2 linked regions of the Macaca fascicularis genome follow. The protein of the gene in region 2 purifies or fractionates together with the protein of the main gene of each other region. This does not show direct contact. Links are inferred from orthologs where the notes say so. Each region holds a gene or a part of one and is shown on either strand. Other genes may lie near its edges. The genes, in order: MAPK8 and DUSP4.

What was found.
Region 1: the proteins of DUSP4 (region 2) and MAPK8 purify together in Homo sapiens (affinity purification with western blotting; 3 studies listed by BioGRID and IntAct, with this or other methods). This does not show direct contact. The link is inferred for Macaca fascicularis from reciprocal best matches to the Homo sapiens genes DUSP4 and MAPK8.

The regions. Positions count from the first base shown.
Region 1 is NC_088383.1:57,634,751-57,638,558, reverse strand, and holds part of MAPK8 (mitogen-activated protein kinase 8), read right to left. Parts: intron 3,803-3,808; coding exon 3,620-3,802; intron 3,319-3,619; coding exon 3,194-3,318; intron 2,628-3,193; coding exon 2,564-2,627; intron 1-2,563. UniProt on the Homo sapiens protein: Serine/threonine-protein kinase involved in various processes such as cell proliferation, differentiation, migration, transformation and programmed cell death.
Region 2 is NC_088382.1:32,537,475-32,541,998, forward strand, and holds the start of DUSP4 (dual specificity protein phosphatase 4), read right to left. Parts: upstream 3,039-4,524; 5' UTR 2,634-3,038; coding exon 2,201-2,633; intron 1-2,200. UniProt on the Homo sapiens protein: Regulates mitogenic signal transduction by dephosphorylating both Thr and Tyr residues on MAP kinases ERK1 and ERK2.

The sequences.
Region 1 (3,808 bases), on a different chromosome or scaffold from region 2:
TAGACATTCAGACTCACAAGGCACACCACACGTAATCTTAATGGTGGATGCCACATCATCACCACTATTTATCATCTTCTTTGGGTCATGGAATCTTCTGAGAATTGTAAAACCCTCTTCTGAGAAAAACATACAAACAAAAAATATTGCATCGAATTTCAAGGAGTCTGTGTTAATTCCTGAAGAAGAAAATTCTGACAAAGAATCCCTGATTACAGAGTATGACATTTATATTGGTAATAAGGTAAAACAAGAGAGTATGTTGGAATGAACAACAACTGGAGACAAGTTTGTTTGTTATAGTAACTTAAGGCTTGGAAGGAGAAAAATAGAAAGCACTGATAAAGGAGAGAATAAGAGATGGTCTTCTTCAAAGAAACAAAAAGGAATGATAAACATTTGCAATATGAGGATTTTTTAAGAGAGAAAATAGCACTCCTCTGGGAAAAAGCACAAAGAGATTAAGGCAGAAGAACCGACACTAATTAGGAGTACTAACTAGGCAAAGCCATCTGTAATTAATGGCTTTGGCAATTAATTTTTCTTTCTGTTATGAGCTAAAACTCTTAGGTAGATCTTGAAAAAGGCAGTCTGTGGGTAATTACTGACATGCACCTGGGGCTAGGAGTAAGAGATACAGAATAAAGGTAAATGTTTTTAAAGCAATCAAAACCCCCAAATATATTCTTAAACAAATGAAAACACTGTATCTCACTGATTTTAAGATGTACTTTTTTTCAGTTTAAACTCTGAAACTGACTCCATCTTATAATCAATGGTGCTGGACAACTGACAGTGTTTTTTTTTCTTTGTGGCACATAATGGTGTGCCTTACAACTGCTGGCCTATTAAGAGTCTATGACCAACCTGGACAACAGAGTGAGACCCCATCTCTACAAAAATTAAAAAAAAAAAAAAATTAGGCTAGGTGCAGTGGCTTAAGACTTATAATCCCAGCCCTTTGGGAGGCTGAGGCAGGGCAGGAGGATCACTTAAGCCCAGGAGTTTGAGACCAGCCTGGGCAACATAGTGAGACCCTGTCTCAAAAAAAAAATTAGCCAAGTGTGGTGGACAGCTACTGGGGAGGCTGAGGCAGCAGGATCACTTGAGCTCAGGAGTTTTGATGCTGCAGTGAGCCATGATCATACCACTGCACTCTAGCCTAGGTGACACAGTGAGACCTTGTCTCAAAACAAAACAAAAAAACAAGATTCTATAAAATACTTCATGGTCTATTGTAAATTAGTAGGATGTAAAAATATCAGGTTAATGCTTTCATACATATTCAGTACAGAGCTATATCTGTATACATATTCAAATGCATATTACATATTCAAATGCAGCAGACTCTATCCAGTTTTATTGTTCTGTCATTTTTTTAACTTTATCATGGGCTCTGCTAACCATGGGTTTCCCAAAGTTCACAGAAAATCAATCTCTAAATCTCTTCAATTTCTAAGAAAGAATCAAATTCATCCTTAGCAAAACACATTTATAGATGGGTTACTTATTCATGTTTATACCTCCCCAGTCCACTTTGGCTTCCCAGGATTTAAAGACAACTCTTAATAACAGGTCTTCTGCCTCTATTTTAAGATGAGGTAAAATGCAGGGGGCGGTGTAGGAGGGTGGGAGGAAGGGGGAGTGATTTACTCAAAGTCACACAGTTACAAAAGTGGTCAAAACACTGAAGGACAACAACACAAATGGAAGTAAATGGGACCTAAACATTACCTGGCCCACATGTCTCAGGGGACCTTTCGAAGAAATATTTTGAACACTTCCATGACTATCAAAGCATGATTAATTTCAGCCACATTTATAAAATAGAATAAAACTACTATATTAGATTTACAAATATTAAAAATTAACTCATTCTGTTGGCAAGGGTGAGGGTAAAGAGAGGCTCCTATACAATATGGATGGAAGTGTACACTACTACAATTTCTTTGGAGAATAATTTGGAAATAACTGAAAAATATCCTTTGGCTCAGCACATCTCCTTCTAGGATTTTTCTTCCAGGTATGTTCTCATATGTGAACATGAATACGGCAGAGTTGTTTCTAACAGCAACAGACTGGACACAATTTAAATGGTCATCAAGAGGGAGATGGATATACAGTGTGACACATTCATACAGCAGAACACTAATCAGTTATTAAAGCAAGAGAGGCATATATGTGAACCAAAACAGAATAACCTTCCAGATATCTGATTATATCAACAAAGCAAGTACATATAGCATATATCGTACACAACCATATGTGATTTTAAAAGGGTGGAAGAAGAGAGGTGGGAGACACTAAACACATTTGTATGTTCACACACCATAGAAAAACATGAGAGAGAGCACTAATGTGTCTGTGTCTGGGGTGGGAAACGGGAACTTAAGAAGTTAAGGAAGGAAGCAGACTTACTGTCCACTTATGTAAAAATATTAATATTAACAAATTTCAGTTATGCACAGAAAATGTCACAAATTTCTCTAACATGACAATAAATCACCATATAAAAACCAGAAGCTCCTTCGCAGTTTTCCCTCTAAGAATCTGATGAATGTACCTTTCCACTCTTCTATTGTGTGTTCCCTTTCATCTAACTGCTTGTCAGGGATCTTTGGTGGTGGCTGAAAAACACAAGGCAATAATAATTGAGTCAGTATGCTGGGAGTATTTTAACTCTTTGTAGTTATTTGAAATATTAGCCAGACAGATGACTTATAAAAATGTATCATTAGATCAAGACTGATCAATCATCAACTTTCTTATATAGACAGAATAGGAAGACTCCTTCATTGCAGGAAAAAAAATGTTTAACTGTCTTTTTCTTTTCTTCCAGCTCTTGAAATTGCCACATTTTATTTATATCATAGATCACAGAATTCCGTTTTCCTTTGGATATAGTAATTTCTTTTATAACTGAGTTAGGATGTTCCCTCAGAGCATTCAACATCCTAGTTCTCTGGTTAGGGTATCCAGGCAAGATTGCAAAAAACAGTGGGAGGTGACTTTATTTTGTGTAGGAGGGGCTCAAATATGCTCATTAGTTTATTTGACGTAGTTTTCATGAAGAAACAGAAAAACATCATCATCATGTATCTACATTTTTATTTAAAATTAAAAGGTCTCCTCCAAACCTAACTGTAATTCTAAGAATGCAGTATGTTCTGTAAACATTAAGAAAATAACTTACAGCTTCTGCTTCAGAAGGATCATACCAGACATTGATGTACGGGTGTTGGAGAGCTTCATCTACAGAGATCCTTTTAGATGCATCTATTACCAGCATTTTGGATAACAAATCCCTTGCCTGACTGGCTGCAAACATAATGATGTTAATGTACATATATTTGTAAAGGTTCTCAAATTATTAATAACTTTCAGCAATTTGAGATTATTTTTTATTTTAAAAGCATATGTTTTAAAAATATTACTGTAAAATTATTTTATACATATGATTAAAATATATAAAATTAAAGAAAAATAAAACCTCATTTTTTTTCCCACCATCCAGAGAAAACCTTGGGTTATGTCCCATAAGAATATGAATACATATAAACACACGAACACATACACACACACCCCAAATGGGATTAAATGTATATATTTGTAAAAGTACCTTTAAGTTTGTTGTGTTCCGAGTCAGCTGGGAAAAGTACATCAGGGAAGAGTTTCTCGAAGCTATATCCAGCATATTTAGGTCTGTTTTCAACATAAGTCCTTACTGTTGGTTGCAGTTTCTTCATGAATTCAGGACATGGTGTTCCAAGCTGTTCAATAACTTTATTCCACTGATCAATATCTAATA
Region 2 (4,524 bases):
GGATGTCCACCTGGCGATGCCGAAGATGATCCTCCCTGCCCGCATCGGGGCCGACTACGAGAGGCAGTGCAGGCTCCAGGAGGAAACAGCCCTTTAAAATACTTCTCTTCCGTTGGCCAGGCACCTCACCACACACCGGAGGGCTGTCATTTTACCAAGAGGCCTATCCCACTCAGTCCCTAGCCTCGCCCAGAGTCTCCAGGGCTTCGAATCGGTTTGGCTGAGGAAACGGAGGAGGTTGGGGAGGTGGACTCTCAACGGGATTCACGAGGGACAGGGAAATGCCGCGCGCCCTGGGAATAAACCTTAAAAAATAATCCCTTTTTCCCCGGGAGCGGGGCCTAAGTGGCTGCAACCCCGGAAGCCCAAGGGACGAGGTCCCGGAGATGCCGCTCTAGAGCGGTCCCCTCGGGATTTCTTCCAGGAAGGAAACCAAAACACAACAAAACAAACCCAGACTCCACGTGGGGCTGGAGCCCAGCCCTCCTGTGTTCTCGCGGGTCCCGGGTTTGGAGGCCAGCGAAGGAAGGCGCGCCCGCGCTCTCCATCGGGGGGACTCGAGGGCAGCGCCGTGCGGGGAACATGCCGGCCAGCCCCGGCCACTCCAGGGGACTTGCGTCCCAGAGGAATTGCCCTCATCTCTCCCACTAGCGCCGACAAGCTCAAACAATGGCGCGGAAGCCCACCCTGGTGGCCTAATCAGGACCTGGCCCCGCTCAGCGGTCAGGCCTTCCGGGACAAGCCCCTTCCTGGCACTTTCTCTTGGAGCGCTTTGGGGAGAAGGGAGGGGGACTGGGCTCAATTGGAGGAGCAAAAGACGGCCCCCGCGGAAAAAGAAATAAAAATCAGCAAAATCGCCTTAGCAGTTCAACCAAAGGTCAACAGCAGCGTTTCCCCAGCAGCTGACAGGTCAAATGGGCAGGAAACAACTGCGGAGAACAAAGCCCCCCGCTGTTCGGCAGGGGCGAACCCGGCTCCTCAGCACCGAGCAATTTTGTTGTGTTTTTTGGAGGGGAGAGGTTTCCGCCCCCCTCCAGCTCCCTTCCTCCCTGGTGGACAGGTCGGAAGAGGAGCGGAAAGGAAAGGAAAGGAAAAGAGGGAGGCGGCGAAGGCGCCTGCAGGGGGAGGAGCGGCTCTTTGATGGGGTGTGGGGGGGTCCGAAATGCCTCCCGGGCTCGGAAGCGCAGACCCGACCCGCACGAAAGAATGCGCGGAATGCGGCTGCGGGAGGCGGGGGGCGCAGCGCGGCAGGGAGCGCCCGGACCCCACGCGCCCTGCCCGCTCCCTAGCCCGAGGGCCGCGGACCCACCCGGCCCTGCAGGTGTGGCGGGCCCCCGATCCCTCCAGGGATTCGGACGGCACGCGATTTTTCCGGGATGTCTGACTACAAATGTGACAAGACAGCCCCGCCGCCAAGAGTTTCGCCAGGGCTCGCTAAAATCCGGCACGCGCCGCCATCAGATAGTCGAAAATCCGGGCTGAACAAAAGGTGGTCATTGTCCGCTGCCCGGATTTGCAGGAGCTAGAGGACCGGTTCCGCCCGGCGTCCCCCAGATACCCAGTCCTCCAGCCTCCCGCTCCCAGAGCCTGGATCTAGCCCGGGACGGGAATTGGCCACCTTCCAAGCTGAGCTCGGAGTTGGGCAGCGGGAACGCAGATACAGATCGCTCTACACGGTGTGTGCAACCCAATCTCCTTTCTGCATTGCCAGGGTCTTGTTTTCAGTGAAACTGGCAGGGCCAATTGTACCTCGGCGTCCACCCCTCTTCACCCTTTTCCCCACCTCTCTGATTCTCCAGGTCCGGCTCAGTGCAGGGCCCTGGCAAGCCAAACCAACAGGCCTATCTTGTCCCCACGCGCCCCGTGGTACTTGGGAACTGTTCCCGGGACTCAAGATGGGCCGCGCAGAGTGGCCGCTTCATCCTCGAGGCCAGGACCGTTAGTCTCAATAAACGGGGCCTCGCTAGGACGGTGCGGAATTGCAGGTGAGCGGGGGAACCCGTCCGCACTGTCCCTGAGGACTTGAAGCTCTCACTTGCACAGAAACCTCGCAAACCCGTACACACCAACACACAAAAGGGCGCGCGGGGATCCCTGCAACTACGAATCTCGCCGGGCCCTCCTTCCCGTGCCAATAAGGTGCAGGCCGCCAAGACCCCCTCCATTTCCCCTCCAGCTAGCGCCCGGAGCCCGCGTTTACCTTTGAGCAGGCAGATGTCAGTGCGCTCGGCGTTACGGCGCAGTGCCTGCACCACCAGCGACACGGTGCTGTCCTCACGGAGGCTCTCGGCGCGCGGGCTGCGCTCGTCGTAGACGATGACCGCCGAGTAGAGGCCGGAGCGCAAGCGGGCACGCACCTCCTCCTCCGCGGGCAGAATCTGCTCCAGGCTCACGGAGCCCTTAGCTCGCCGCCGCACGATGGTGTTGCAGCGCACGTTGACCGAGCCTCGGATGTAGCCCGCGCTGTGCGCCAGGAACGGTCTGCAGTCCAACAGCAGGCACTTGCCGCCGCTCGGCAGCCCCAGGGCGCCGTGGCTGCCGCTGCCGCCTGCGCCGCCGCCGTTCTCGTCCCGGTTCATCAGCCTTTTGAGCACGCTGCAGTCCATCTCCCGCAGCTCCTCCATCGTCACCATGGTCGCCGGGAACCGAGGCGGCTGGGCGCGCGAGGAAGAGAAGGGCACCCGGGCTGCCTACGCTGCAGGAAGAAGCGGGCGAGAGCTAAGAAGGGACGCCCGCAGAAGTGGCCGCAAACTTGGTCCTCAGGGGCTCCCGCGGGCGAGCCTCTTCTCCCCTGTCCCCTTCCTCCCGCAGCCTCGCGGTCACATAGCAGTTGGAGCGGCCTCGGGTGCCCAGCCGGGCGGCGCGCAGCGCGGAGGGGAAGGCGGCGGTGGAGGAGAGTGTGTTTACGGGAGAGGACCGCGGACTCTCTTCGGCGGCTGCCTCCCGTGTATTTTTGCCGGTCGCGCGGCTCCTGTCGCCACCGGCGCAGGCGCTGCCGCTCCCCACGCTCCCCCGGCGCGCCGCGCACTACCCCAGCCAGAGTTTCCTCCTAGGCTTAGAGATTTATTAATGCTCCTCCGCGCTCCAGGGGGAGGGGGCGCTAGGTACTACCCCGCCAGGCCCCGCCCCGTTCCATTCCGGGCTCGGCGCCCTCCCCCGCCCCCCGCGCTGACTCCCCGCCCCCTCCAGCCCCTCCTCCCACCCCCTCCCCGGAGCTTGAATGGAGCGCGGCCGCTGGCTCCTGGTCACGGGAACTCGACGTCACAAAGAGCGGAGTAAACAGGGCGCGGGGTGCTCGCCGCCAGGCCCATTCATAAAACCGAGGCCGAGAGGAAGAGCGAGGCGGCCTCCGACCCGCCGCGAGCTGCAGGCAGCGCCTGGACTTTGTGAATGGAGCGCGCGGCGCCTTTCGCTGTCTGCCCGCTGGCCCAGGCTGCGCCGCGCCTCCAACCCGACACCGGCACCTGTGCCGCCGCTACACCTCGCCGCTAGGCGGGCGGTGTCAAAGGAATATAGCCGGCTGAGGAGGCCGGGGCTCGGGTTTGAGCTTTCATCCCTTTGCACCTTCGCGCTTCCCAGCGTGACAGCCCCGCAGGTCTCTCCTGGGTACCCAAGTGGAGAGGGGACCAGAGCGCCGCTGCCCACCCGGCGGGGCCTGGCACCTCCTAGCCCCAGACTCCCCATGCGCTTTCGACACGGCCAGTCCTTTCTGAAAATGTGATTCCTGAGACGTAGTTTGTATTAGCGTGATCGATTTTCATCCAAAGCCATTAAATCAGTTTTATAGCTTCCTCAGGAACGTGGGCAACCCCCTGCTTGGAAGATGAAAGAGAAAGTCCTCCCGCCCGAAGCCCAGGATCCGAGTGAGGTGTGGGGTTTGTTGCTTTACGACCCAAAGGGAGGCATTAATTGCCGGAATGGTGTTCCGAGGGAGGAGAGCCGTCTACATTTCTGTCCACGCTTCCTAAAAGATGTTTGTTTAACCCTGGTCGGGGGAGAAACAAGGTTTTCGGATTTGGGAAAGGTTTTCACCCTATTTTGCATAGTTGTGAATTATCCTTTCAGGAAATGACATGGTCCACATTTGCTGCGGAGCTGGACCCTGGAAAATGTACCCGTAAAAAAATGACCTTTTGAAAGGACTTCAGCTCTGGGCCTGATTCAGGTTTCTGGGCATCCCTTTTTCCTGGTCACGTAACAGCCCTCCCCATCCCCATTTATCTTTTGCGTTTAATTTCCCAGAGGCGGCTTTTGGCTGGGGGTTTGTGCACGCACGCGGTGGGGACCGTGCAGAAGCCAAAAATTATTCGCCCGACATCTTGCCAAGTCTTGTTAGTGAGAATCACAGAGCAAGGGAGTTACAGGACTCGCTCGCAGTTTCGGAGGCTGCAGAGTAGCGTATTCCATTCCAGCGCGCGCGTGGAAGCCCGACCCAGGCAGCGAGGGCAGCGGAACCCGCCGGGTCTCTCCCGCCCCAGCTCGCCCTCTCCCCATGCCTTTGTTCCAGGCGGAGCTGCTCTCTAG